Drosophila melanogaster: one gene and its partner. The protein of the gene in region 1 purifies or fractionates together with the protein of each later gene. This does not show direct contact. Each region holds a gene or a part of one and is shown on either strand. Other genes may lie near its edges.

Evidence for each region.
Region 2: the proteins of Agpat1 (region 1) and Prosbeta4 purify together in Drosophila melanogaster (affinity purification with mass spectrometry, with the first as the bait; one large-scale study listed by BioGRID). This does not show direct contact.

What each region holds. Positions count from the first base shown.
Region 1 is NC_004354.4:12,758,649-12,774,994, reverse strand, and holds Agpat1 (1-Acylglycerol-3-phosphate O-acyltransferase 1), read right to left. Parts: upstream 9,730-16,346; 5' UTR 9,392-9,729; intron 8,426-9,391; exon of another isoform or gene 8,317-8,425; intron 8,027-8,316; 5' UTR 7,832-8,026; coding exon 7,641-7,831; intron 5,305-7,640; coding exon 5,171-5,304; intron 5,081-5,170; coding exon 4,374-5,080; 3' UTR 2,144-4,373; downstream 1-2,143. Other genes in the region: pira (pirate), read left to right, coding at 11,652-13,697; PAICS bifunctional enzyme, read left to right, coding at 14,622-14,646, 15,080-15,283, 15,388-15,532, 15,960-16,072, 16,141-16,346.
Region 2 is NT_033779.5:16,728,055-16,742,814, forward strand, and holds Prosbeta4 (proteasome beta4 subunit), read right to left. Parts: upstream 4,080-14,760; 5' UTR 3,980-4,079; coding exon 3,889-3,979; intron 3,815-3,888; coding exon 3,589-3,814; intron 3,524-3,588; coding exon 3,235-3,523; 3' UTR 3,126-3,234; downstream 1-3,125. Other genes in the region: Tsen2 (tRNA splicing endonuclease subunit 2), read left to right, coding at 1,724-2,162, 2,217-2,479; CG17996 (uncharacterized protein), read right to left, coding at 2,497-2,801, 2,855-2,906; Nubp1 (NUBP iron-sulfur cluster assembly factor 1), read left to right, coding at 4,578-5,513; glu (gluon), read right to left, coding at 5,743-6,213, 6,282-7,965, 8,027-8,340, 8,402-9,026, 9,088-10,223; ChLD3 (chitin and LDLR binding deacetylase 3), read left to right, coding at 10,942-11,140, 12,518-13,250, 13,312-13,834, 13,893-14,171; LSm7 (uncharacterized protein), read right to left, coding at 14,615-14,760.

The DNA of each region.
Region 1 (16,346 bases):
ATAGCAGGACCAGCAGGAAAAACATGAAATTGTAATGGAGTCGATAAAAAAAAAATCAATCTATGTGAATGGGTTTCGCAATCCAGAGAAAGAAGTTGGTCAAATTTTTTTCCACTTGACAGCACATCAAAGCAAATTAAATTTAACAATAAATACATATATAAAATGCGGGATATCCGAGAAAAACGTGGAGTACGGCTGTGAAATTATGTTTGCTTTAAAATACATAAACGCAACTGTAAATATTAAATGATCACTAAAGTATATAGGCCATAAATATGGTAAAAACTATTCAGATCAAGTAGAGATGGAAATTCGAGAAAAAGTGAAATGAAGCTCAGCGAGACAGGAAATTAGAAGAAAGAAAGAATAACTAATTAACTGAATGTACAATTCAATATGCCACAACATCTGACCAATTATGATCCATAACAGATAAAATATATATATATACAAACAGATATGTATACATACATCAATCCAAGTATCTGATAAGAAATATGACAAATTTTAATTAAGCCAGATCGGAATAGAAACAGATGATGACAATGAAAATGAGAATGAGAATGAGAATGAGATTGAGAATGGCAGATTCGAAGCGCGCTTAACAAATTTTTTAACATAGACTCAACTAACAAATGCAAATTGGCTTTAATTAACAACTAATAACGAATAAAAATCACACGAATAATGATTATAACCCCGAGTTGATATTGAAAAAAAAAGGTATTTGAGTTCTTTTCGATCGATTTTAGTTCTAGATAGCAGTGTTGTGAAACAACCGAAAAACTTTTTCCTAAGCTTAAGCGCTTTGCCATTTGCAGGAACCCAAAGATCCTCGAAAAAATGTTTTATATAAACGATGAAGTGGGCTACAGGCAGGATATAAAGCTCATTCGATTCCAATAACTGGAATACAAATCGAAATGACAGTTTTTAATATATTCCTTCAGTTTAATACGATGTATGCATAAATTCGTAAAGAAAATTAATAAAGCCATTTCAACACTGGCAACGTGAAAGGGAGAGCGAACATAGCAAAAATGATAGAGATAGCATATAACTAATTTATTCTTTGGGCTATATATCCTGCCTACCAGACTGGAAATTATTAATCTTTATTACTGATATTAATTATTGTAGAACAGGAAATATTTTACAATTCTTAAACCTTACCAAACCAAATCCAAAAAAAAGGCAAACAAAACTATTAAACTTGACAATTTTTAATGTAATCGAAAACAATGTTATAACAAGAATGTCTAATGAGAAAACTTTAAGCAAATACAAAAACTTCTTAATTAAAATTAAAAACAATGCAACAAATGTCATAAAATGTTAACCGATAATTTCGCAAAAGAGGCAAATCCAAAATCATGTACGCATACCTTAATATAATAATAATATTAATTCTAATACCAGGAAAATTTTAACAAAAATATACAAATATTTTCACAATAGCTTAAAATAACAGTACTTGTGTCATTTATTTTTTTTTTTTGGGGCATACTCGTATAATCATATCATATCATATCAAAAACTAAGCATAAATATTAATAATTAATATTGATCAAACATTTGCGGAATATCGACCATTTGATTAAACTTATCAGTTGATTAATATAAATGCTTGCCAAATTGATGATGGTCAATGAACAAGGCCCCCCTCGTTGCCAAAATTCTGTTATCAAAAATACATTATCTAAATGGTCCAAAGCAAAGGTTGCATAGAGAAACCCCAACGATTAGATTTCAAACGAAATCGAATATGCATTATGTTCTTCGAGTTGCTGGCGTTTTTATATTTAAGATTTAGTGTTTGTTTGCTCTGCGATAATTGATATATTTGGACAGGAAGCTATTAATCAGCTGCGATAAGAAGAATTCTCCAAGATCATCATACACACACACATACATACGTCGTCTAAAAGGGCCAATCTCAGATTGTAGACTCAACTGTTGATAGTTGTTAGGTGCCCAAAAAGACACAGTAATTTTATTGATTTTGCAATATTTGATTTCGAACAATCGTCATAATTCTAAACTATTCGATAAGCCCACTTGAAAATACAAATGTTCATAGTCCAAGGATGAAATCTTGAAAGCAAACCAAACCAAACCCGAAAAAGAAACAATCATAGATATTTGAAAAAAATATTTATTATACTCGTATTTAATTGTTTCCTTTTGCTTTCGCACACTATCGCCTTTGATTTGTCTTTAAAGTAAACCGCATAGTATTTACAAAGTTAAGTTAACACTTTACCAGACAGATACACAATATATTTGAATACAATACACAAATATGTAGGTGTTAGTTCAAAGATCCCTTAAATTCCTTAGATGCCATGAGGTGATATTAGATAAATAGTACATTGAATCCATTTCGGGATTCAATTGTAAGCGAGTAAGGAAATACCTTTAAATGGGAACCCTAACCTAGTTAGGGAATGTCTTGTAAAAATAAAATACGTATTGTTTTAAACAAAAAAAAAAGAACTGGCTTAACTGCTCGTCAAGTGGTCGATTGTAAAAATCAACCAGAATTCGCCCTACATAAAGTATGTAATGTCGTTTGCAAGATTAGTCGTCATTCACAATATGTGTTTAGATATTTATTTAATTTTAATTACATATCATTTGGTGTAATCATCTAACAAGTACACGCGGCAACAGGATTAAATGATAACATGCAACTATCATATAATCTAGGCGGATAAAAACCTAATCGAAATTGCTTGGATTTTAACAATTCCCTAATAATCCAAGCCATTTCGAGTTAGACATGTTCTTCTGTTCTTCCTGTTGCATCGTGTAAGGGATAGAGTTAATGTTTTTTGGTTTGCTGTTTTAGTTGCTTTTTGGTATGTGTTGCCTACAAAAGAGTTAAAGTCTGACAGTCGAGGATCGCAGTTTTGTGATTGCTACTCCTAATACTCATTTTTTTGGTGCCTGAATTAGTCAAACTATTTGAAAGTGAGTGGATGTTTTGCTGCGTGGACTGTAGCCGAAATCGTAACATGGAATTGGCTTTTCAAGTACACTGTTTCGTTAACATTTCGATGTGTCTAAAATATTATGCAAGTGCGTAAAATCTACAAAATGATGCACATGTTGACTTCCACAAACAAACACAGGTGATTTATGTTCGAAAAAAGTGTGTTAACATAGACCTATTTGGGATTTGACCTTTTCAGTTAAGACTAGCGCACTATCAAAATTCATATTGCTAAATTATTTAAAGTGGTAATACTTTTCTTAATTCGTTGTTTTAAAGTGGTACGGATTTGGTATTTACAAGTAAGCAGCAATTTTTAACTTATTTTTTTCAGTTAATTAAATAAAATTGAAATCGACAGCAGCTTTCGCTTCTGCTTTTGAATCAATCGATTCCATTCAACAGGGTATAACCAAAGACACTAGAATAACAAGATGCCACTTTTTTGTTGACGGCCAAAATTACTCTCTTTCCGCTCACTCCCGCTGAGAGCGTAAGAAATCTAAAAATAGAATTTGCTTGCTTGTGTGAGTAAAAACAAGAGACGAGAACGCGTATATGTGTGCGTGTTGTGCTAGAAGACGATTTTCGGGCCGAAATCAATTCTGATCGAAGAAACGAATTTACATTGTACATATTAGGGTATTTTTGGCCAATTTCCTAGCAATATGATAAAATAAAAAAATTTTTACAAATTCGCGCCCTGACTATTATAATTTTAAAGTTTTTTAAATTTGTTTGTTAAAATTTGTTATGTTTAATTCTAATTTGTCTCTCATCTGACAATTTTTTAAAAGCGAAATATTTTTTTTGAAACACTTTTAATGTTAATGTTACATCATTTTAAGTCAAATGACTTAATAAATATACTAATTAATTAAAGGAAGTACAATAGAAATTATTATAACTACTGTAATTTCATAAATTTCATTAAAAAATATGATAACTAGAATTATTCTAGTGTCTTTGCTTTGTTCATATCTTGAGGCACGAAGCACTCAACAATCATTGCCTTATTAATTTTTCACACGCCTCAAAATGAATACTCTAATGACAAATATTCTTACATAAAGTCATTTTTGAGAGAAATAAATTACGAAAAGTATGCAATAAAATGATGACAAAACATAGTTTGGACTTTAAACAATAATATCAAAACAAATACTGCACGTGTACGATAATTGCACAACTGTGGACTATAGAATTCCCAAATAGGCCCAAATAAAGCTGATTGCCAGTTAACGTGTCCAACTAAAAGCCCCCAAAACGTGACACTTCAGCTACGCCATGAGGTGTTTCGTATTTTTTGGATATGAGTGTGTGTGGCTGGCTGTGTGTGTGTGTGTGTTTGGATTGAATTGAATTGCTGCATAGCCTAAAGTGTCTTGAGCAAGCTGGCCTTTGCGGCTCCGGCTTCGTAGCCCGGCGGTTGACCGTATGCCGAACTGCTACTGGCCACGGCAGCTGCGGCAGCCACTGCCGCATCCGCAACGGGAGTGACAGCAGTTCCCGGTGATGCCAATGTTGTTGTTGTCGTAGATGATGTTGATGCTGATGAGGCGGCTGGAATTCCAACCTTTTTAATGGGCTTATAACGATGCAACGCCTCCGCAGACGTCACCTTGAACGTTTCAATCATCTGGGAGCGGACACGCTCCATTAGCACATCGATGTCGTCCTTGGTTAGTCCTTCGGTGCTAACCGGCGGCAGCGTGGTAATCACAATGCGACCCGAATTCAAAATCTTTTTCTTATCATTGAGGAATGTGCAGTAGGAGGAGAAGACCACCGGCAGAATGGGTATCTGCTGATCGATGGCCATGTGAAAGGCGCCCTTTTTGAACGGATGCAGTGCGCCCGTATTGCGGCGCGTTCCCTCCGGGAAAACCCACAGTTTGATACGTTGCTTCTTGATGCGCCGGTTAACATCGTTTAGCGTTTCGCGCGCCTTCTCGCCGCGCACACGATCGATGAAGATTAGGCCAGCCAACCATGCCGCCAAGCCAAAAGGCCAGGCGTAGAAGAGCTCTCGTTTGGCCACCACTGTGCACTTGTTCATCACATGCCAGATGTTGAACATGCCTGCGTATCATAAAGAAAAAAAAGTCTCATTTAGTTGGCATCACTGTTTGATTGATGGATTGATGGGCATAGAGAAACCTATAGGCTTACCCAGCACATCCAGCGAGCTTTGGTGATTGGCCACAATGATGCAGGCCTGGTCCTTGGCCAAATGCTCCTTGCCGCGCAGCTCCCATCGCAGGCCAATCAACGTCGAAACGCGGTGGCACCAGGTGCTCGCCCATCTACAAACAAAGAAATAAGAAATCGAAAATATATTAGTAACATTGTAATCAGTGATTTCTTCGATAGAGATTATATTATACGGAGCCCAAGAGGGATCGGTCATTTTCTGAAATCCATATACCATAACAAATCCACCGGCCAATTGTGAGTGCAACATTATTTAATCAAGTTGACAGCCATCGAGGCGTAGCTCTGATTTTTACCTTGTCGCCGGGATGATAACCATTCCACCTGAACTACAACTAAATCCAGCTAGTCATGACATGTAATTACAGCTCGGGAATTGTATAAATTATACCCCTAGGAGGGTGCACACTGTTTACTAGGAATTCTCGTCGTTCATTTCGCGCCTCCGAAAATGGATCGATAAACTGCATAAAATAGTTGAGTTGGCAAGAGGCATAATTGATTTAGGTGAGTGGTATTTGTGTGTGCGACTACGTTGGACTTGTAGTAATCCACCCCTGATATCAAATATTCATTGTTGTCTAATGCAAATGGTTATTTGAGTCGCGCAAAATCGCCGAGGTGGCGAGCAATGCTACCAGCTACCAGCTGCCACTAACCACATACCAAAATGGTAAAAAAAAAAAAAATGAAAAAAAAAACCCACCGCATTGGGGACACAATTCGGTTTTCCCTGGCTTTTCCACTTGCGTGCAACTGCTCCCTTTCGCCACAGAGTACCCCTTTTTTTTCCCAGATTGGCGTCATAGCCAACTGGTAACTCGAGAACCCAACAGTCCGTTTCAATTCCCCTCGAAAATTTCGTCCTTGGACTGACGACCCTAGGCAGCACTGGCCTCACTTAAAATCACTAACACAAATCACTAAGAAAATATAATTACGAATTTTACGACATCAGAACTGTACGATACCCATTGCATTTTGTTGTTTGTATGTATTTTTTTTAACATTTATAGTTCTCAAGTGTTTCAATTCAGCTAGCCACATTAGAGGTAACAACCATGGGCCACAAATACCAGCGAGGATGCCATAAAAAAAAAAAACCTTATCGCGACGGCAAATTGGCAAGAAATTCGTCACAAATTCAATTTCCGATACCGGAATTGGTAACGCAAACATCATAAACATAAGTTTATGAAGCAATAAATCTATATCTTTTAACTTATTTAAGCGTATATTAAACTATTTGTGAGATTTGGAGATTAAAAAGTTTAGATAATGTTGCAACTTTGGCAATGATCATAATTAAACTAAATTGATTGATCAGAATTAAATAAATTAAATAAATTTAAAGTAACTAGTTCTAAGGTGTCTAAGGTGCTTTTTGCATACACAAAAACTATACCATTCTTTCGCATTCTTCAAGTGTACAACAATTTGTGGCTTTTGGACTTTCTGGGTCCTTGAGTGACAGTTGGCCAGTTGGCCAGTTGGCCAGAAGTGCATTGCGGACACCTGCAGTCACTCCTCCGCAGTTGGGCCCTTGTTAATATTGATGGCCAAATGTATGTGTCATTGAGGCATTCGCCTTGGGAACTCAAGGAGACCGTTTCGAAAAGGACGCCCCACCTGCGGTCTTCAATGATAAGGCAATTTTATTTCGGTTGAAATTAAGTTGGTGATACCGCAATTACTCCATTTGCCCGTCAAGCCAATATAATGCATTATTTACCACCAATTTGATTGTCTTGTGGTGGCGTGATGTGTGATGAAAATTGTTTCATTAAGCTCATTAATTTGCATGGGAAAATCATCATAAAGTGAATAGACATTTGGCATTATTTTGGGTTTGCAAGCAATTTAAAAGGGGTATCATGGGTGTTGAAGTTAAGTGCTCCCTACAAATGTTATTAAATCATTCCATTAAAATTTTTAGAGTGAATGACATTAAGATTTATTTGGGTCAAGGTTACTCGTAAGCATGATAAAGTGCATCATTTTGCACTTTGTAATTTGTAATTAACGTGGTGATATCATCACCATTGGAAAGCATGTTTGATTTGATAAAGAAAAAGACTTGAAGCCAAATAAGCATTATAACGAAGTCGTAACTAAAATACGATATAGTTTTATGTTTTATAGTTAGGCATAATGGAAAACACTTTAGCAAATACTTTTGTGTATTGTATTACTAATCGATGAGTCTACAATTTGTTGATTGGCAATCAGCCACTCGAGTGCTTTATTGATATATAGATGGGCAGCCCATTAGTGCTAAATCAAAACATGCTGAACTCAATAAACAGATATGGGAGTTCTCTTCTAACTGAGCTATACTTGTACTTGATAACTAAAGGTATTATTATTCTTATATCAGATTGGTTTAGTGTTTCATGATATTTGCATAAAAATATTTTGCACTACTTACAGCAGATTGCGGACATCGCATGGTCTGGTGAGGAATGCCGGGATGAGGATGATCGAGTTGAACGACACGATGCCGTAGTACATCAGGAATTTGAAGTAGTATCGGAATATGTGATTGGTCTCATAGAGGAATGGCAGCATCAGCAGCAAGAAAAGTCCCAGCAGTTCGATAAACGAAGTCATGGTGATCATTTGATTATGTTTATGCTTAGTGATTCAACCGTTTCAGATCCTGGATCCAGATGCCTTCTGCTATCTTCGCCCGATTTGCTATCCTGTATGGGACTTCCGGCTTTTCTTTCTCTGACTTTCCTATGGTTAAGGCAGATTACAGTCTTTTAGGTGTGTGGTTTGTGTGTGGATATCCTTGTTGTTCCGATCGATGCGCTGAAAAGAGCAAATTTGTTAATATTTATAAATAATGAGCAAATTTGTTAATATTTATAAATAATGTAGTAAAAGTTTGAAGACTATAAACCAAATTATTAGCAATCAGAACAAAGAACAATGGAACTGGCGTTAAAGGGCTAATTCTTACAGTTTTACAAGCACCGTCCTTTTGTTATGTTTTTGGGCTAGTGTGTTTTAAGTGCTGATAAAGCGGGAGAAAGGGGAAATGGGCAATTGCTGTGTTGCACGCCATTTCTCCTGTTCCTTCCACTACTTTTATTGCTCACTCTTTTATGCACGTATTAATATGACAATTATGCGAGTGCAACAAACCACAACGTCACAAGCGCACCAAGTGATGAATACTACAGTTCAGGGGGAAAAAAAAATTGCAAGCAGTTGAAGTTAAAAGCAAAACTTGCATAAAATACGATCCCTTTTTAAATGTCATACCCAAAATAAAAGTGAATAGGAAATATTTGCTAATATAAGGTTTTGTGAAAGAGTGCATATGGTATTGATAAAGAATTGAACTAATGCTAATATCTTGACCGCAGCTGTATGTGCAGCCGCCCAGAAGAAAGAGAAAAAATCAATTTAAATTTGCGCCCAGCGGCGAAAAACGGAACAAAACAAAACGGGGGAGAAACGAAGGAATGGGAATTTAGCATACCATATTGTGTTTTTCTACGGGTTTTAATAGATACTATCAATGAGATACTATCAATTGATATGCTATTGAATCCCGATTTGAATGCTGCATATAATCAGCTAAATAAATTGTCTATTTGTTTGCCATTTCCTTTATTCGGTTCGCTGCCCCTATTTCCATTTTCAGTCTTAACACTTGCGCGTTATGTTAGTTCGAGGACATCCATTGATATTAAAAAAAATTCTTCATTAAATTTAATTCAAATATTATATTAATAAATAAGAACACAAAATTAACTCCAAAATTAACTCCATTTGCATAAAAAGACAATTTTACAATATGAATTTGTTTTCTGTTCATTTGTATTTCAAGTGCATAGGAAGAACTATAGAGTTTTTCGTTGTGTCAAAAAATTTACTTATTATTTACTATTTTGCAAACTGGGTCCATCAAGGGTTAATATTGTTGTTCCCTTACGAACACATCTGGCACAAAACAAAATAAGCAAAAAACGGTAAAAGGGGGTTGCGCCAAGAGAGCGTTCAAAAAGAGAGGGTGGCAGAGAGAACTACAGACACGCCAAGGATAATAGCAAAAGAAATCAACTTAAAGACACACAAAAACACATAGCACACACACACACACAAAAACACTCGAATTAAACATAAATAAATGCAATTTTCGCCAGCTCCGTTTTGTTGTGGACAAACCTTTACAATTAAATTAAACAATTCGAATTTAATACAATTGGCGGCTGCGTGTGGAATTCGCTTGACACACCAACAACAAATGAATGCTCACTTTCTTCGTTTCGGCTTTTGTTTGTTGTGGATTTTAATAAAAGCGACTACTTTTTATTTCGATCTATTTCGTATGCAGTTATTTCGATTCTTTTTCTTCTCTTTTATTTTTATTTTCTGCTGCTGCGGCGACGACACAACGCCGACGTCGACGGCGACGCGAAAACGACGTTGCGCTGCGTTTGCTGAGAATTTCCGTTACCGGCGTTCGAGCGACTTTCGTGGCAACTAGCGGTACCGAAATATCGAAGCTAACATCGATGCATCGATGTTTTTATCGATTTTCCGAAACATCGATGTCTATTTTTTTTTTTCATCGCTATTCGAAGACTCAGAAAACGAATTTCTTCAAATTTAAATTTATTCAATTTCAGTTATTAGCATGCAATCTTAAAATTGTATATGCATTTTCAATTTGTAGTGGAGGCCAAAAAATTTCCGATCAATTGATTTCCGACAAACTTATGTTTATCAATACCAGTTTAAGATTATGCATCTGAAAATATATCTTATTTTTTTTAATTTTATTATATTAATATTTGTTTTATATTAAATTACAAAAAAATTAAATTTAATAATAAATAAATGTTCTTTCTTTTTCAACAAGTGTAAATAAAAATATTATAGTCTGCAAATATCGATAGACGGCTAATTGTTGGGTATCGATAGCGAGCGGTGTGTGCGTCCGCGCTGCATGGAGCTGGCATTGGGTTTGAGTCTCAGCTTTGGAACTAAAAAGCATGAACTAAAAACATCGTTTCGAGAATTAATTGAGAATTAAATATTAAAGTCCCGCGTATTTAAAAAAAAAATAAAGCTGTTAGTTAAATATGACATCTTCTCTGCGAACGGTTTGGTTAGAGCAAACAAAAAAGTTTATATGACTACAACGAAAAATTCAATTTAATAAAGAACTAACGGAAAACATAGCATAAGTTTTTCCCGAAAAATATGATGTACTCAGCTGGATATTTAAAAATAGAGCAGGCTTGTTGTATTATTTACATATGCATTTTCCACGTGCTTAAATGTTAAATATATTTTAAATAATATATATAATTAATATATGCATAAGAAAAAACAATTCGAATAAAAATATATTTTGCAAAATATATTACTGCAGCCAGCACAGATATGACACTATTTAGTAAAGTATATACAGTAGTAGTAATAGTAAATTTGTAAATGTAAAACAAAAGCCAGTTTCCAGTTGCTTCACATTTAAGGAATTCGACTTGGCAAACTTTCTGACAGCTAACAACGTTGTGATTTAGATGCGTTTTTCCGCACTTGGCAACCGATGCAAATTGCGAAATGGAGCCCTTTGGCCCGCGGAAAGGAAAACGTGTGTGTGTCTGTCAGTTGTTTTTTTTTTTTTTTTATAAATACGCTCTTGGCAAAAAACAAAAAAACAATAATATTTTTGTTTACATTTGATTTTCTTATCGCCGCCAAGCGATCCATGTGGTGAGAGGAGCTCAATGCTGACGACTAAAAATCGGACAGGTGGACCCGATGACGGACGCACAACTATAATTTGATTAATGTCTGTACTTGTATTTGCAAAATGTTGAAATTAAAACGAGAATAAATTTTTGGTTTTTAAAAATTCCCATACAAAGAACTTGCAACAAACGGCTGAACTTATAACTTTGTAAATACCACATGTAAGAATACTAATACTTGTAAATGAAAAGCAAAGAACTTAGCTTAGCTAAGATTCGCTTAAATGCCTATATTTCGTCAGTTCAAATATTATTTAATTTCAATATTCGCAACATTCAAATTTCAAAGCGGACTATCGATACATATTTTTAAAAACACCCCACAAAATCCATACCAATTGGAAACATATACATATGTATCGATATGAGCAGCAAAACTCCGATGGCGATAGCAACTCGCACAGATGATTTTTGGATACAGCACTTGGGACGCCGTTTACCCCAACAATAAAAATAGACAGATATCAAATATCGCATAAAACACACAGATTGGAAAATGAAAGGAATATAGTGATCAAAGTCACCGTGTTAGGTGACTCTTCAACCATCCAGTTAACTTTGCACATCAAGCAGCCCGAGAATTTGCAATCGAAACGAGAAACTTCAGTTCAGTCAGATCAGCCCATATAACGTACATATGTTATACTATTGAATCCGGCTCCAAAATGGATCGCAAAGAAACTGTTTCGAAGGACCAAGCGGTACGTCGAATTGCCCATAATGACTTTATATTAGTCTCACGTCAATTGCTGATCAATCGAGCCGACACGGATCCGGACAAAGGAAGTGCCAGGATGTTGATTATCTACAGCAGTGGAAAGCAGCACATCGTCACCTTCAAGCTGCCGAATCTTGCGTGTAGGGTGCAGGATCTGTTTTTCCAAATGGACCTTCAGATCGATGAGAGCACCACGATTGATTGCATTGAGAATGCCGGCGGTATTATCCATTTGGTTGTCTCTGTGGGCTTCCCCATCAGTGATAACATTGCCGAGACGGTTGCCCATGCGGAGGAGTTCTATAGGAAGGTGCATCAGTCAAAGGCATCATCGGCTGATGCCGCTCCACCCAATGCGATGGCCGGTGAAGAGCACTCCCCTGCGGTTGTCAAACCATCAGAGACTGCGGTGGCCAACAATGGTTGCCAGCCAGCTGCAAGTGCAACCAAAGGCAAGAAGCACAAGAAAAGTCCTTGCGGGAGTCCGGGAGAAAACAATGATGGCCAAGTGATATTGTCGGCGGATCAAGACGCCAATACTAATACCAAGGCCAAGAAACAGAAGAAGTGCCATATTGCAAAGGATAACAATGGAATTCAAGCTGCTAGTTCTCATGACAACCCTAGTTCATCTGGCAATAAACAGGGAAGTCACAACTCCACGGCTATAACCTCCAATTCTACAATGACGAGTAATGGTCTTCGGGGCGTGCAACCAGCTGAAGATGCTCCCGCAATCTCCCAGTGGATCCAGTCGAGGAACAATGCCGCTGTTAGCAAGAAATCGGAAGAGACAGCTGGTGGATCTCAATCGCGGGTGCAATCGAATGTTGCATCCATATCCTCGCCAGCGGTGAAAGCAACTAGCGACGCTGCTATACCCACACCAGCAGAACGCGCAGAGCGTAGTCGCCTGCGCCGAAATCGCAATTGGATACTAAGCAGGGACGTTGATGAAGATGCCGTGGTGCTGGTGAGCAGCGGTGATGAGGAGACCACCGCCGCCGATGATGGCCAAACCGAGAGAAGACTTTCACCCGATGAGAATCAAACCCTTTTCACATATCCGCCAACTGGTACCGGTGGCCTGAGCATCACCATCAAGGACTTTATGTGTCTCAGTAAAGGATCGTATCTGAACGATATAATCATTGATTTTTATCTGCGCTGGCTAAAGAATAACATCATACCAGAGGAACAGCGCGATAGGACGCATATCTTTAGCACGTTTTTCCACAAAAGATTGACCACACGAACGAATCCCAGAAATACGAAGCAGACGGCGGCCCAGAAGCGTCACGAAAGGGTTGAGAAGTGGACACGAAACGTCAATATATTCGACAAGGACTTCATTATAATACCATTCAATGAGCAGTCCCATTGGATACTGGCCATTATATGTTATCCAAACCTTAGAAGCCCGGTGGTAAACAATAATAATGTGCAGACGACACTCAGTGATGATATTCCCATCAAACAGCCGTTGATACTTATTTTCGATTCGTTGGCAGTCACCTCAAGACATCGAGCGATTGCCATATTGCGGGATTATCTCACCTGTGAGCACAAGGCCAAGTATCCGAATGCGCTGGCGCATGTCTTTAACAAGGATAATATGCCCGGTCATAGTGTGGAGGTGCCGCAACAGCAGAATCTTACAGATTGCGGCCTCTATCTGCTGCAATATGTGGAGCAATTCTTCACAAAACCCATCAACGACTATACACTGCCCATTAAGGAGCTGAGCAATTGGTTTGACCTGCTCACAGTAACCAAGAAGCGTGAGGATATCGCTAATCTCATCAAGAAGCTTATGAATGAAAGCAATCAGCAGCGCAAAATTTTGCCGGTCATTAAGTTTCCGACATTAAATGGCCAACTGGTGATGGATGAGGAGGATAGCGAGGAGGAGAATTCTAAAGAGGAGCATAAAACTACGTTGGTTTGTTCAAAAGACAGAAAACCGCCGAGGAGAAGGAATACACTCAAATAAACCACTTGTGAGAGAAGTGAAAATACATATATTTTCTACAAAACAACTGAACTGAAGACGATCGCAACGCAATGCTTTGGAACACTAGGAGGAGCAAATTGACACGGCGGAGATGGGTTCACCAGAAATATACGTTTTTTCCCTCAAGGAAAAGTTTCATACACACATACAATCACCAAAAAGAGCAGTTCAGCCAACAAGACGATAAAGAGGCTACCTACTGGAGAGATAGAGACAGAGACAAAGACAGAGATCAGGATCACAGGATGAGCATGTTAGGCAGGACGAGGTGGATGTCAGGAGTTGGAGAATGGACAAAAATCAAGAAAAATTCAAAATTCAGAAAGTCACCAAATGAATAGAAAATATTTTAGAAACAAAATTTGTAAATAAAATGCGACAATAAAATTTGTCACGCATAAGCAAAGCTTTATAGATTGCCAAAAAATGTACATATGTATGTATGTACATAAGTACATAAGTTGCCCCGCGCGGTGTTCATCGGCCATTTGGGAAACTGCAGGGTATTACCAATCAGCATTATACTCGACTCTAAGCCCACACACACACCCACACGCAAGCACACACACGCGAGCGCAAACACATGGATCTCTTTGCATTGGTGTTGGGGTTCGGCGATAAGAAAATCGAGCCATAAAGTCGCGCCGGCGATTCTATAGACGCTCAGTTGCTTTGGAGCGATTCTTTGATGCAGACGAACATCGGAGTTTGCGGATTGTAATAATAGAGCCAAGCGGAGAGAGCGAAAAAGACAGAGAGAGAGATAGAGAGCGAGAGCGAGAGGGAAGGCACCAGCGAATATCGAGCATAAAGCAAAGCCCGCAACACGTGAAACAGCCAGCAGCCAATTGATTTCAATTTCGATTCTTAAAGTGAAGTGACCAACAACGTGCGATTAACGAGATGTCCACCACCACAACAGCATCCAGTAAGTTTATCCATCGCCAAGGTTTCCAAATAAACAATTGTTGTGCCTAGAACGTAAATAGTACCAAAGCTACCATCTTTTATTCGATCTTTCATCAATAAAAGACAAGCTTAATGTGATGGAAAGCAAGACAGTTGTTTATGTTTTCCCGCCAGCCTTGGATTTATTTAAACAGTTATTCGGGTTACTCAAAAAAATAAAACAACGGAATATTTTCCTGGTTCTGATAATATTTTAATGCTGTTTATTGAGCTGTCTGCTGTAAACAAGAAGGCTGGCTTTCCATTGTTTAAATCAAGATAATTGTGGATTTCGTAAACAAGTTGTCTTTCCATTCCTTAAATCAGTATCATCATATATCATATAGCATCGATTCTAAATACTAACTAAACACCGAACGTAACGAATGCAACTGCAACTTGAATTTCCACAGTAGAGGGCTATAAGCTCGGCAAGGTCATCATCGAGGGCAAAACCAAACAGGTGTACGATCTGCCAGAGCAGCCAGGACTTTGCCTGCTCCTCAGCAAGGATCGCATCACCGCCGGCGATGGTGTCAAAGCACATGATCTGGCCGGCAAGGCGGAGATCTCCAATACCACCAACGGTCAGGTCTTCCGGCTGCTCAACGAGGCAGGTGAGTTGCTAAACCATATAAGTCAAATCAACTATAATGCATTTTAGTCAATTTCTAACCAAATTGATCAATTAATTAATTAATTAATGCTTCTTATTCGACAGGCATTCGCACCGCCTATGTGAAGCAGTGCGGCGCCAAGGCCTTCATCGCCCGCAAGTGCCAGATGATACCCATTGAGTGGGTGACCCGTCGCCTGGCCACCGGTTCGTTCCTCAAGCGCAATGTCGGCGTGCCCGAGGGCTACAGGTTGGTAAACAGCCAATGGCTGGCTGTGGGTTATCACCCCATTCGATTTGTTGCGATCTGTGTGTTATCTGTGTCCGCTTGCGGTAAACAAATTCAAATGCAATCGATGCACTGCAGCAGGGTCAACAATCGCTGATAAGATTGATCGTTTGTGAACTCAAAGCCCACGAAATCTGTAATTCAAGTCAAGATTTTCGCCAGGGCAATGCTGCTGAGATGCTATGTGTAAATTCGTTTCATTTGATGTCGTCATACCAAGGCAATAGCTCTTTTTTATGGCTTTGATTGCCAACAAGTTCGCCTCTTTGAGTTACTGTAGAATATATATTATACTAGAAGTAATACAAATGTCACTTGATATTTAATTTATTCATCTATTTGCCTCAATTTGCTGCCTTATTACTACAATTACATTTGCATTGCGCAGGTTCTCGCCGCCCAAACAGGAGACGTTCTTCAAGGATGATGCCAACCACGATCCCCAGTGGAGCGAGGAGCAAATTGTCTCCGCCAAGTTCGAGCTAAATGGCCTGGTGATCGGTGGGTACTTGCGGCATAAAGCACTTTTACATATACAAATCTAAAACTGGCAACATGTTTTTCTTTAGGCCAAGATGAGGTGGACATTATGCGTAGAACCACACTGCTGGTCTTCGAGATTCTCGAGAGGGCATGGCAGACCAAGAATTGCGCCCTGATCGACATGAAAGTGGAGTTCGGTATCTGCGACGATGGCAACATAGTTCTGGCCGATATCATTGATTCCGATTCGTGGCGCTTGTGGCCAGCGGGTGACAAGCGTTTGATGGTCGAC
Region 2 (14,760 bases), on another chromosome or scaffold:
TTATTTCAATTAATTTTCAAATCTACCAAATACAAGCACATACGTTGTGTCTTGAAATTAACTTAAAAGCTTTATTTACTCTTCAACCTAAAAGTATGAATCACGGAGATCACGGCAGGCATTTCCTTTGGTATTTACCCATATTCGATATAACCGAAAACCTCTTATTGCAGTTGGAGCACCTATACGGTTTTTCCCCCGTGTGGATGTGAACTTTTAAATCGCTAGCGCGGGGAAACGTCTTTGAGCAGAACTCGCACTCCATAGGTTTCTTCCCATTGTGCAACCGCTTGTGGCGGCTTAGATTAGACGGATACTTAAAGGACTTGTCGCAATGGCTGCCGATCTGCCGATATGACTTTGAACATTGCTCACACTTGTGCGACCGCTCCTTGGAGTGGGATAAAACGTGGGCACGCAATGCATTGGGACACTGGTATGGGCGAGTCTTCTCGTGACTTAGTAGATGAAGACTCCAACTGGAGGAAAACGGAAACATCTTGGTGCACTTGAGGCATTTGACAACCCGATTGGGAGGATCTGATGGCGGACACTTTGGTCTATCGCATCACTGCATTTGCAAAAGTCTTTCGACACTGGGAACACTTGTATCGCTTTCCATGGGATCGAAGGTATAATCTATAGGAGTCCTTGTCTTCAAAATATTTTGGGAAGTAATTACATTTGTAGGGCATGTAAGTAGTACGATGCACTATGCTGCATGATGCAGCCAACCTAGATTTCGGCTTGATATTATCTTGATTCAGTGAATGTTGTTTCAAATGCGTTATGGATGCACTACTTTTTTGGCGCCGTTTGGCGTAATGCTTTTGGGCAGGCATGTCCGATTCCGATGCAGGGTCATAGTCATCCTTTTCGTAAGTGTCCTCTTTAGACTTGCTAAAATCTGAGCCAGAATACTTCGATTCTTGGCTACCGGCATTATTTTCTGAATGGGTTAAAATGTGCTGCCTAAATTGCGAGGCTGCCGCGAACGATTGTGTGCACATGGAACACTTGTAGCGTCGTTTACGTTCAGTATAATCGGGGTTGTATTCAGATCCAATGCTGTTGAAATATAGTTGGGGAGACTGTATTGATTAACCTCCTCAGTTTCTATCTTGCATGTGTCTTTCTCGAATAGATCGTTTTATGCTTTGCTGACTGCTTCCAGGTATAGCTCATCGTCTCCATGCTCGTTTTTTACCTGGTATTTCTGGGCTACATTCGTTTCAGGGCCTTCCAGCTGGTTTTCTATTCCCGAGTTCCCGCTTTTTAATATTTTGCAGATCTTCCCCCCTTCCAACTTTTGAATGTATCCAAATGCCTCACGGGCGTCTTTCAAGCACGCTGGACAGATGATATCCGGCAGGGAGTCGCCTCTCTCTACTTGGTGGCCAAGCCAGCAGGTAATAATATCCTCAATGGAAACTCCTGGGTCCCATTGAATATGTTAATCATGTCGCCTTCCTGGCGCCTCCTCCATTTTTCTAAAACGGAGGTTTTATAAGGGATTTCCATGAAGAAACGCAAGTTACTTTAAAGATAGTTTATTTATTTCTTAATTGCAATGTTTGTTTAGCTGATAAGCTTTACAATCATACATCTAGTGTGACCATGACTAAGATGGTCAATTATACTAGCCATCCCAGAAATGTTTTGAAAAGGTTAAAATATGTTTTTGGTATTTTTGAAGGCTTGTTTATTTTTGGCATCTCTAAGAATGCAGTTTACATTTGAGTGCAAAAGAAAGCGCTGCTTTAATAAGAATGCGAATTTCACGCCTCTTCCAAGTGGACAGGATGGCGAACGTTACAAGGGAAGATTTACAGGACTATCCGTCGAGATAGTTGATCCCGAACAGGCTAAATCCCTGCACGATAATGGTTGTTTTGGCAAGGGAAGCAAATCTCGCGGAGGACCAGCAAGTGGAGACGAGAACGAAACCCTGTTTCTCGGAATGGAAGAGTCTTGCTTCCTGGCCCACTATTTAAATGTTTTAGATATAACCAACTCAGCTGGTTATTTAATGGACTTCTGCATGTTTGTGGAGGTCGCCAAAGAGCACAATGAGAAATTTGTTGAGAACTTGGCCAGCTATGTGTATTTGAAGTCCAAGAATTGGGTCATCAAGAGCGGTATTAAGTTCGGCGGTGATTTTCGTAAGTTCTTAACTGAAGAGCTGCGAAATATATATACTAACTTTCCTTTTTTAGTTATCTACAAGCAAAGTCCTCGATTGTACCATGCCAGCTTTTTGGTCATTGTGCAAAAGCCTGGTGATACGGATCACTATCAATCAAAGAACTTGAAGGGTGTTCAACGCGTGGCAGAAACTTCTGATAAGGATGTGCTGCTCCTGACTGTCCAACCGCCTAAGAAGATAAGCTCTTCCAGGGATTTGCAGGAAGCCACAGTAACAGAGACTATTGTGCGGCGTTTTAATTACTTAACTTTTGTACAAAGCAAACAACAATAAGGAACTACTCAGGGACTCTACAACTTCTCCAGCCGGTGCTTCTTGGGTATGCCAGTGCTGCGATAGTCGGCGCGCTCCTGCAGATATATCTGCTTGCACTCCTCCTTGAAGGCTTCGTTCTGATACCACTGGGTGAGGCATTCCTTCAGGGCTGAGTTCTGTTTCCGACAGGTGGCCACCATCAGTATACTGCTGGCCTTGCAGCACTCCTGGAAGTCGGCCACCTCCTTTGAGCAGAACTCCGTCTTGGCACGATCGCGCATTATCTTGGGTATCAGCACTTCGCGCTCCACCTTGCGCAACCTAGTATCATTTGGATCGCCTAGCAAGGGCAGTGTCAGTTGGTGGTCATATTCGATTATTCTGAGGACTCACCCAGTCCATGGGGATTGTGGGGATCCACGGCTGGCTGTTGTTCAAGGCTCATATTGTGTTAAAAATACTATTTATTTTGTATAACAACTTTTAGAGTGACTGCCACCGGTGCGATGAAAAATACTAGGGATATAAAAATACCACGAGTATACTAAAATTAGATTCATTTTTAAGATATAAAATATAATTTTATAATTCGATTTCTTGAATATTGAAATTACTTAATGATCGTCTAGAACACAAAATTTGCCCGACTGATCGCTAATTCAATAATATATTTTTTTTTAAACCGATAAACCACCTTCGTGTATTAAATTAGCCAAGAATCCAGACGCATTTTATTACAAAACTGCATTTTAAATGCTTAAATCAAAACCTAACTAAGCGGCCAGGCTAGCAGCGCTGATTGGCTCCAAATCTCGCACACCATCCTTGTCCACGACGGCGACGGTGAAGTTCTTGAGGTTGACGACCAGGCGCTTCTGGATTTCGGCAATGCACTTCTTGAAGACGTCGTAGGCCTCCGCCTGGGTTATATTGGGGTGCCAGTATCGGTCATAGATGCTGGATGCGAAGATCGCACCATAGCCATGACCGGCGTAATTCACAGGCAGTGCATTGGCCAAATAGTCAATGAAGGTGAGCTCCGGACCCGCGTTGGGATCGTAGCTTTGGGGAGAAGAAACAGATTAGGCACGGAAAGCAAATGGATTGACTGATCTCATGATCCTTACCCGGCCACAAACATGAACACTTGGTAGGGCGTGCGACTGCGAAGATATTCGGCCAGATTCTTGCGAGTAAAATGAGCCGATTCACGTGGACTTAAATCGTAGCCATTGCGCATCTTGTACAACGCTATGTTCTTCGAAATGAATTCGGTAAATTGCTCCGTGTCGCCCGATTCGCCGACGGTTGAAATAAGCAGACTATCCGACACCTTGTGGATTTTGTTCTGATCTGCAATGGAAATTCAAGGAGACTAACGAAATGAGTCCCAAGCCGCCAAGAAAATGAGCACCATTTGGGCTTACCCTCTTTCATCACTATAATGGATCGGGCGTGGGTGGTGTCCGCCGCCAGCATCACGAAGTCAGGGCCCTTGATACCCAGTAGAGTCTCCATGTTGCAATTATATTTATACTTTCGGGGTTTTTTAACGAAAATTACAAGTTGTTTGTGAGTTGCCGAATGCGATGACAAGCAAGTTAAATGCAGAGTGGCCGTATGCTGGGCGGCTAAAAATACCGCTATTCTGAAAAGATACTAATAAATATAAGCTAACACATATTTATAATTTTATTTTATATTTATTATTTATCATTTTAAATTAACTTAATTATACTTAATTTTCAATTATACCTAATTGGTATGATATTCAAATCTTATAAGTTTACTTGCTTACTAAAATTAAAATTAAAATTATTTCAATGTTTCAACTTTGTCTAAATAAAAAAAAACTTTATTTTTAATAAACCCATTTTTGTTTCCTTTAATATGAATATGAATATTTACATATACATAAAAATTATGTTATATAAATTATAATTATAAATTAAATTATTAATAAAATTGAATATCTTAGTTATATATTATTTTTAATTTTAATCGCAGTTAATCAACACTTGTTGAGTGCCCGGTTATAACTTGGCCACACTGTTCCCTTGTTATCATTTCATTTCACAATTAGTTTACGGAATTCGAACTATTGAAACTAAGAGCCATGCAGGCACCACCTCCGGAACACTGTCCTGGCGTCGAGAGCGAGGAGGCGGGCAAGGGAAGTGCCTGTTCGGGCTGCCCCAACCAAGGACTCTGCAGCGATCCCAACAAGAAACTCGAAGATCCCGGCAAGGCTTTGGTGGTCGAATCCATGAAAGATGTCAAACACAAGCTGCTGATCCTGTCCGGGAAAGGCGGCGTTGGCAAGAGCACGGTAACCAGCTTGCTAACCCGCTATCTGGCCAGAAGTAATCCGGACAGTAACTTCGGCGTGCTTGATATCGACATTTGCGGTCCATCGCAACCGCGTTTGATGGGCGCCCTGGGGGAGAGTGTCCACCAGTCTGGGTACGGCTGGTCACCTGTGGGAATCGAAGACAACGTGTGTCTGATGTCCATCGGATTTCTTCTGGGCTCTGTGGACGATGCCATTATTTGGCGAGGACCCAAGAAGAATGGCATGATCAGGCAGTTTCTGAGCGAGGTGGACTGGGGAAATCTGGATCTCCTGCTACTGGACACACCACCTGGAACTTCCGATGAGCACCTGTCTGTGGTTTCGTACCTGAAAGACGACGCCAACCCGGAGTCCCTGCGCGCCGTGATGGTGACCACTCCACAGGAGGTGTCTCTGCTGGACGTGCGCAAGGAGATCAACTTTTGTAAAAAGCAAAATATCCCCATTGTGGGCGTGATCGAGAATATGAGCAGTTTCCGTTGCGGCCATTGTGGAAATAGCTCCGAAATCTTTCCAGCCAAAACCGGAGGAGCCGCTGCCATGTGCGCCGAAATGGGAATCCCGCTGTTGGGCTCCCTGCCTCTGGATCAACAGATATCCAAAGCCTGCGATTCTGGCGAGGATTTAACTGAGTTTAAGAATGTCACCACTGAGGCGCTGGAAGGAATTTGCTCAAAGATTATGGCCAGCTTTAGTTAAGAATAAGTTAAAGACCACTCAGTTTTTAAATAAAAAAAAAGATGCCTGTACAATTTTATGTAACATTTATTATTAAGCATTGAAAGGATAATACCAATTGGAAATACCGATTCACCTGAGGTCATCAAATTACGTCTCGGTCTTTACCAGAAATTAGATTACCAGGCAGTTTACAACATGCCCCTTTACAGGATAAGAAAACATTCTACAATATTGAAGTAGGTTGGAGTTAAACATTAAGTATGGCTGGGGAAGATGGCGGGCTTGCTAGGGACACATCCGTGGTTACTCTTCCCGTGGCATCTGACGGTTGAGCAGCAACCTCAGTGGCGGCCTGTTTCAGATTTTGCGCGAGTATTGTGTCCCTCACCGTACTTTCCAAGGGCGGCGCAAATGTGGTATCCCTCCCCAACTCACTAATCAAGCGGACTATTTGCTCTGACGGCGGCGATTGGCTCTTCTTCGTGGGGGTATCGTCTTGGTTCTCGGCAGCTATCGTGTTATCCCCCTCAATTGTTCCACCCACGTACTGGCTGTTAGCGACCACTGGCGACTGAGTGGGCAGCGTAGGCGGATAGTTCAGCATAGTGATGGAGTCCGTACAATCGCTGACCTTGTATATGCCCACCAGGAAGTTGGCCAGCTCAAACATGTTGACACGAAGTGAAACAATTATGAACTGAGCGTTTTTCGTACGTTCCTAAGTGAACACAACAACAATTGGCTTTAAAATGTGAATGTAAGGCAAGAAAGCAGAGAGGTATTTACCTTGATATAGTGACCCACTATAGACACATTCTTGAAATCCAGCGCCGCATCAATTTCATCCATGAAGTACAGCGGAGAGGGCTTGTAATAATGCAGGGCAAACACAAGTGCCAATGAGGAGAGAGTTTTCTCACCACCTGAGAGATTCGAGATGTATTTCCAGCTTTTCTTTGGCGGTCGCACAGTAAAATTTACGCCCTCGGTGAACGGATCCATGGAGTCCACCAGCTCCAGCTCAGCATCGCCGCCCAGTGTGATCATCTGGTACATTTCCTTCAGTTTTCTTGTTATAATGCTAAAGCCATCCATGAACTCCTTGTACCGTCGCTTGCGAACTTCTTCGTACTTGTCGCGCATCTCATTGCGCTTGGAGGTGATGTCCTCCAGCACACGGACGCGATCGAGGTAGACTAAGCGCTTCTCGTTGAACTCCTTTATGCAACTCAAGTTGGGCTTCTTTGTTTTCAGATCTTCCTCCAGCATAGTTTGCTTATATTGCAAGGCTTCCAGAGTCTCTGCCTCCAGCTCTTCTTCGTTGAGTTCTTTGAGTGGCGCTTGCGGTTCAGTCTCTCCTGGAATCTCGTTGAGCTTCAAAGGCGCCAGTTGAGCCTGCCATCCGGGAATGTCATTCTTCACCTTGTTCATTTTTCCCGCTGCAGCTTGCAGCTTAGTATCTATTTCAATGCGCTCGATATTTCGTTTGTTCTCCTCCTTGGTGATCTCATCTATTTCTTTTTTTATATCGGAGGATTGTGATTTGGCGCCCTCGATGGACGCTTCCGATTCCTCTATTTCCTTTTCCAACTCCTCCTTCTTTTCCTTAGCCTTATTTCGATCCTCATTCAACGATTTCAATTTTTCTTCTGCAGCTTTTATATTCTCACGGAGATTATTATTGTTTCCAGTGATTTTCGTTATATTTCGATCTGCTGTGGCCAAGCCCACATTCAAGGACCGCACATTGGCGGCCAGCTTTTCTATCTGGCTATTTACCTTCTTGATCTTGGCCTCCACAGGCTTGACACTTTCATTTCTAAGGGTATCGTATTGGTTCTGGATCTCTTCGATTTGGCTGGAGACAGCCTGTTCGGCGAATTGTGCTTGTTCCAGCTCTTGCTTCGCTGCTTCTATTTGCTCCTCCCGCTCCTTGACTGCCCTTTCGTCTGTTGTTTTCTTGAGCATTCGCTGCCGCTGCGCCTCGCATTGCTTCAGGTTGCTGGCCATCTGTTGTTCCAAAGAAGTGATGCTCACCGCCAGCCGCTTGTACTCCGCCTCGTCACGCTGCAAGCCATTCTTCAGGGTTTGAATCTCGCGCTCAAGACTGCCCTGCTGTTCCTGGCAATAATTGACTCGGGCCTGTAACTCCTCCGCCTGAATCTGCATGTCTTCTAACGCCTTCTGAGATATTTGCGAACTGTCAGCCGATTCTGCCGTCTTGGTGCGCACCTGGGTGCCCATTTTTCCGCGTATAGGACGACTGCCGCCACCAGACATGGTTCCCGTCATCTCGATCATCTCACCACGTAAGGTCACAACTCGGTAGCGTTCCCTGCCGTAGGCGATGCGGGTGCCCTGTTCTAGATCGTCACATACCAGTGTGTTCCGTAGGGCGAAATAGAAAGCGGTTCGTACGCGGTCATCTTCAACCTTAACCAGATCGTACAAACGAGGAACGTTTTCTGGTCTGCAATAGTACGTGAATGGTGTTAATAACCATTTCCATTCATTCTGTTACTATTACTTACGTATTTATCCTGGAGTTGGCCTCACGACGATGGTGCTCAATCTTGTCCAACGTAATAAAGGTGGCTCTGCCCACGTTGTACTCCTTTAAAGCGCCAATGGCCGCCGATGCGGTCTCATAGTTGTCCGTAACAATGTTGTCCAACCGCCCGCAGGCAGTCGAAATAGCAATGTCGTACTTGGCATCTATGCCACCCAAATCACCCAGGCGTCCTAGAATACCAGGGATCTTTCCCTCCATCTTCATACGCATGAGGAAGTCTAGGACCTTGTTATTGGATCGCTGAGCCTGCATGACGCTAGATCTTTCATTGATCTGCCGGAAAAGGTATTTATAAATAGAAGAACAGTATAGAATGTAAATAAATGAACCATACCTCTGTTCTTAGTTTGTTGCACTGCATGGATAGGTTGCGTTCCTCTTTAACCATTTTGTCCACTTCCGCGGACTTGCTGGCAATTTCGGTCTTCATCCGTGGAATGCTTTCTTTCAGCTCGTCCACCCTTGTTACTTTCTCCTCCAGACTTTTCTGCGACTGCTCGTACGAACTTTTTAGGGTTTCATATTTCCTAGACTCAGTGGTCTCTGCCTGTTTAAGGATCTTGAGCTGCGACTCGAACACTTGAACCTCTCCTTTAGCCGTGTTGACCTTCTCCTTAAGGCCCACCAGTTCGTCACTGAGCTTAAGGCGCTTCTCGGTAAGCGGTGCAGTGGTTTTAGTTAACTCGGCCTGCTGCTTTTCAAGCTCCTCATTCAGTGTCACCTTACTTACTTCCAGGCTCTCCAATTTCTTGTTGCAATCCTCGATCTCGCGCTGATTTTTCTCCGGCAACTTGTGCAGATCCTCCAGCTCTTTTTCGTTCTTTTCTATCTGGGCTTTGTCCTTCTTGCGCTGCTTGTTCGTGTTCTCCATTGTGCTCTGGATCTCTGTGTAGGCACTCTCAACAGTCACAAGTCTTTTCTTGATCTGTTCGCGCTTTTTCACTAGAGCTTCGTATTCTCTGAAATTACGTAATGTAATGTAATATATAGCTCAGTTTGAAGTTGAAGCTAGGTACTTACTCAATTTCCTTTCGGATGATTGTTTCCTTTTCGGCTCGTGATTGTTTCAGGGCAGCAGTGCCCTCGTCGTGGGTTTTTAGCTCTTCCGCACAGGCTTCATGCTCCTGGGTGTACTGCTCCAGCTTGCTCTTTTTGATGCTGATGATCTTTTGGATGTGGAAGGATTTGGTGCGCACCAGCTCATTCTCCTTCTTCAGATAGTCGACGGCCTCATTGAACGGTTGCTCCAGATCTTTCATCTCGCGCTCGGCCAGCTTGCAGCGGTTGTGCTTCTCTGTTCGGTCGTCTGTGAGTTGATCTACCCGTTGGTTTATCTGCTGCAGTGGGCGAATGTAGCGCTGTGTTCCGACAATATCCTCCAGGTATTCCAACATTCCAGTTTCATTTTCAGTCTGCCCTTTTGGCTTCATCATGGCAATGGACTCCACTTCGCCCTGCAGAATGAGGAAGCGATTGTGCTCCAGATCCACATGATGCTTCTTAAGCAGCTTAGCCACATCCTTGAGCTGCGCCCGTTTGTCGTTGATCTGGTAGTAGGAAGAGTTGTCCGACATGGCAGTGCGTTCGATAACAATGCTGGAGTCGGGCACGTCCTCGCATGTGCCGTCGCCCTTGTCTACGATCTGCTTGAAGTGGACGGCGACCGAGCAGCTGCGTAAATTGGGATAACTAGACGAGGAGTGGATCAAGGTGGAGACACGCTTGCAACGGATGCGATTGGCGCGGCAACCAAACACAAACATCATGGAGTCGATAACGTTGCTCTTGCCACTGCCATTGGGTCCAATGATGGCAGTGAAGCTCTGGTGGAAGGGACCCAATTCCACTTCGCCCGCATAGCTCTTGAAATTCCGATTTACAATTTTCGAGATGATCAGGCGCGGTCCGGTGCTCTCCATGGAGCAATGTGGCGGCACCGGAGGCGGTATGTATATGTCGCCGATCCGGGTGCCGCCCTCCTCGTCGTCGAAGATCAGTGCATCATCCAGCGCGTCCACGGCGGCGTCCTCCTCCTCCTGTTGTTGCTGCGCCCGCAATTGTTGCTGAGCAGTTAGCTGCGGTACGCGAAACTGGCCGCTCTGCCGGGCTCCGCCAGCTGCCTTGGGCGTGCCCTTGCTGGGACGCGCCTTCTGCATCGTGCGCTATTCTCAGTAAATTCTCCGTGTGGATTTATCCAGGAAAAATCCTCGAATTACAAAATCGCTTTTTCGGGCGCCAATGGTAATAGGACGCTATCAGCAGTGTGACCGTCTTGATGTGCCCGCAAAATACTGGCAAGGCCGTTAAATAAATCAGGCGAGTTGTCAGCTCTGTAGTTTGAATTTAAATTAAAAGTCGTTACATCGACGCTAAGAACAAATTTCAAATATTCTAAAACATATATGAAACTGATATTTGTAAATATAATATGAAATATTATTAATTAAATCACAATAAAACTCAACTAAGTAGTTTTTTCGATGAAGTTAGCAAAATAATGAAATACATTTATTTCATCGTAAAGTAAATGAATTTCATAATAAGCAAGCAAACTACTTAATTTCCAAAAAAGCCGTGTAATAGTTTGGAAATTATGAATAACTCAGCGCGCTCTGCGCTCCCCAAAAACATAAGCGAGACACCCACTGCGCGGAGCTTTCTCTCCGCTATCCGCAAGTCAGAGAAATGCCCAAATATATATAATGCCTTGGCTGCATCTCGCACGACTTTAGTCACAACTCGACTTTGGCTCGGTGCGGAACCATTTTCACTGGCGGTTTTTCCTTCGGTTTTCCGATCGCGCGCAAGATTAAAGCGCTCAAAGCAAGCAGCCAAACACAAACGCGAGTGGCAAAGTGGAAAGCAGGCTGAAAAATGCTCTGCCCGGGGGAAAATGCCTATAATGCAAATGGCCAAACGGGTTTCACAGTCAAGGTCGTCGCTTCCGCCCAGCGACGCTCGAAGCCACAACCAACAGCGCGAATTCCCAACGCCCACCGCTTACCCAGTTTGTGCATCTGGATGATGGTGGCGCTTATGATTATGTCGTCGTCGCTGGACGCCCTGGTCATTGGTAATTTTCTCCCCTTTTGTTCGCTTTTCGATTGGGTACGACTGAATTTATTTAGTTTTTGGCATGCTCATGCGCGCATGCGCACATTGGGTGTGAAAGTTGTCGATCGAATCGAAGGAGTTATATAACACGAAACGACCAGCCAAGTGGGGCCAAGTCGGGTTGTCCACATGCCCGCACCCGTCCCCAAAAAACAAAACAAAAAAAAAAAAAAACTAAAAAGAGCGTGTGCATTGAACCCCATGACAGTTGCTGAAATTTTCCTGACCCGCTGCCTTGGCCTCTCTGGCCGGCGGAGATGATAAATTTACTTTCTAAATGCTGCAAATGCCCAGCTGCCCCAGCTAGACATTCAGCTAGAGCTGCAGATTGAGATTCAGATGGAGATCGAGATGGAGATGGAGATATACACACACGGACTGTCAGTCAGTCGGTCTATCTACTATAGTCACACATATGTATGCACATATCTCCAATCTTGAGATCGCATCTTGCATTTGGCCAACACGCGTCGCTTGCCCAACCGCCTGAGTTACGATATGGTGCGGCACGGCTACGGGCCATTGCTGCCGATCCATGATGCAAACGCATTTCAACCCGTCCGCCGCAATGTGGCACATGGCTGGGACGCATTTCCAAGTGGGTGGAGCTGGCGTTAGTTTCAGAAAGACCTATTACACAAGTGATTTGAAAAAGTTCAACAATTTACTATACTTATCTCAAAGGTGCTCCATAGTTTACACTCAATTCTAGCAATATTTATCCAATATTTTCAATATTCATAATCATTTCCAAGTTTGCCAGTGCATATAAATTGGAAAAATATTTTTAAATGGCAAGTCAACATAATTTTGAGTGCTAGTTTAGTGCCAGCTGTACTTCGTGACTAGTTGTCTTACTATTGTTTCCATCACGTTTAAATCACGGCGGAAGATCATCTAAGATCACATTATGGTTAATATAATGTTAATTGAGGCCTCGAGCCAATCAAAAAGGTCATCGAAGTCCAACGGTCCTCGGAATTCAGGCACTTCTAAGCGAGCAAGTGGCCTACACACATTCATATATACATATATTTCCTTGAAGTTTGTCCAACTTTTCGTTTCAATTGAAGTAGCGACGTGGGTTTTTTTTTTGTTTTTTGTCGTCTTGCTCCGTAATAGTTGACTACTATTGGCAACTATGCGCACCACCCATTTCAGTGCGTGATTGGTATCCAGCTGGAAAAAAGCAAAAATATTTCTGCAAGCGGCTAATTTTGGGCTGACGTGAGCGGTTTCGTTTTTGGGTCAATGCATTAATCAGTAATCAGTCTCCTTGTTAATTACACACGGCTATCTCACACCCAGTTTCTTTTTTTGTGTGCCTGCTTTGCAGACAATGATGGAATAGTCGGCAACCAAACTCGGCATCGTCGCTCGACCTCCGGCGCAGCCAGTTGCATGCAAGATGCACGCTTCTACCGCAACCCCAACAGGCCGGTCCACAAGATCTGGACGAACAGCGAGTGCGCCAAGTATTTCCTCTGCCTCGACGGTGAGGTGTTCGAATTCAAGTGCTCCGAGGGATTGCTCTTCGATGTGGTGCGTCAGATCTGCGACTTCAAGGCGAATGTGGACAATTGCGATGTCAGCGCGGAGACGCCGGCTCCAAAACCACTACTGGAGATGGCCGACTGTGCGGATGAATACCAGTTGGGCTGCGCCGATGGTACCTGCCTGCCGCAGGAGTACTTCTGCGATGGTTCGGTAGACTGTCCCGACGGCTCCGACGAAGGCTGGTGCGATGTGGAGCACGATCCGAATGCGGCTGGTGCCTGTGATCCGCGAAAGTGCCATTTGCCGCAGTGCTTCTGCTCGAAGGATGGCACCCAGATACCCGGCAGTCTTCCGGCACAGAGTGTTCCGCAGATGATACTGTTGACCTTCGACGATGCCATCAATCACGATAACTGGGAGCTGTTCTCCAAGGTTTTGTTCACACAGCACAGGCGAAACCCCAACGGGTGTCCCATTAAGGGCACATTCTACGTTTCACATCCGTTTACCAACTATCAGTATGTGCAGAAGCTTTGGAACGATGGTCACGAGATCGCAGTGCACTCAGTAACGTAAGTTGTTGATCAGCCTGTAAATTATTTAAAATTGAAATTTCACTTTTATTGATTAAAGGCATCGTGGCCCAGAGATGTGGTGGTCCAAGAATGCCACAATTGAGGATTGGTTCGATGAGATGGTTGGCCAGGCGAATATAATCAATAAGTTCGCAGCGGTACGAATGGAGGAGATTCGTGGCATGAGAGTACCCTTTCTGCGCGTCGGCTGGAATCGACAGTTTCTCATGATGAAGGAGTTTGGCTTCGTGTACGATTCATCCATGGTTGCGCCGCATTCGAATCCTCCTCTGTGGCCCTACACCTTGGACTACAAGATGCCGCACAGCTGCACGGGCGTAAATCAGAATTGCCCGTCTAGGAGTTATCCGGGCATTTGGGAGCTGGTTATGAACCAACTGGAAGTGGGCGAGTATATGTGCGGCATGGTGGACACGTGTCCGCCGCATTTGAGCGGCGAGGATGTGTACAGAATGCTCACGCACAACTTCAAGAGGCACTACCTCAGCAATAGGGCACCATTTGGCCTGTATTTCCATTCGACTTGGTTCAAGAAAGTCGACTATCTGAATGCATTTCTGGTGAATATTCGAATTGTTACCCATAATACTAGATCTTCATTCCTTCCTGATCATTTAGAAATTCCTCGACGATCTGCAAAAGCTGCCGGATGTGTTCTTCGTGACTAACCAGCAGGCGATTCAGTGGATGCGCCATCCCACGCCCAGCAACCAGCTGCACCAATTCGAGTCCTGGCACTGCCAACCGAAGGACTTGGATCCCCACGAGCAGGTCTGCAACACGCCGAATGTGTGCAAGGTGCGTAGTCGGGTGCTGCAAGAGGATCGATTCTTCTACACTTGCATGGAGTGTCCTGCCCAGTATCCCTGGATTCGCAACGAGTTCGGCTTGGACTAAGGTGATAGCCCGCTTGACACTATAGGGCTCTGCGCAAGGCGCTTTGATATATCCATAATGTTTGGAGCGTTCCATAAGTAATTGGATAAGATTGATACAATTTTAGGTTTTAATTGTTTAGAAAAATTAATATTTATAAATTGGATTACGCATATTTAGATGATTCAGCTTTCAAAATCTGACCGTAAGCAAACCCGTAGATAACTTCGTAACATACCTGAAGAGGATAAAGTGCATTAATTTAAAATCGGAACACTCTGAATTTTATGGAGAAGCTTAAACAATTTCGCGGGCTCATAAACGTGGTACTTTGCGGCCTGATTAGATTTTAAGAACTAATTTATACGTATGTATGTCTCCGCTAAATATATTTAAACCGATTTCCAAAAGAGCTTTGTACTTAGTCTACATTCTGGAACGCATCCCAGCCACAAAACCTTGGACTATTGCGTTATAAACGGATTGGCGATGCTCTCGACTCCGTCTTGCGGACAAATGAGGACGAGGGCTGTGCCGCGACAGACGACCAGTCCCAGGCTGCGGGTCTGCTCCTCGGTCAGTTTGTAGGGCTCATCCGAGTCGCGCAGAT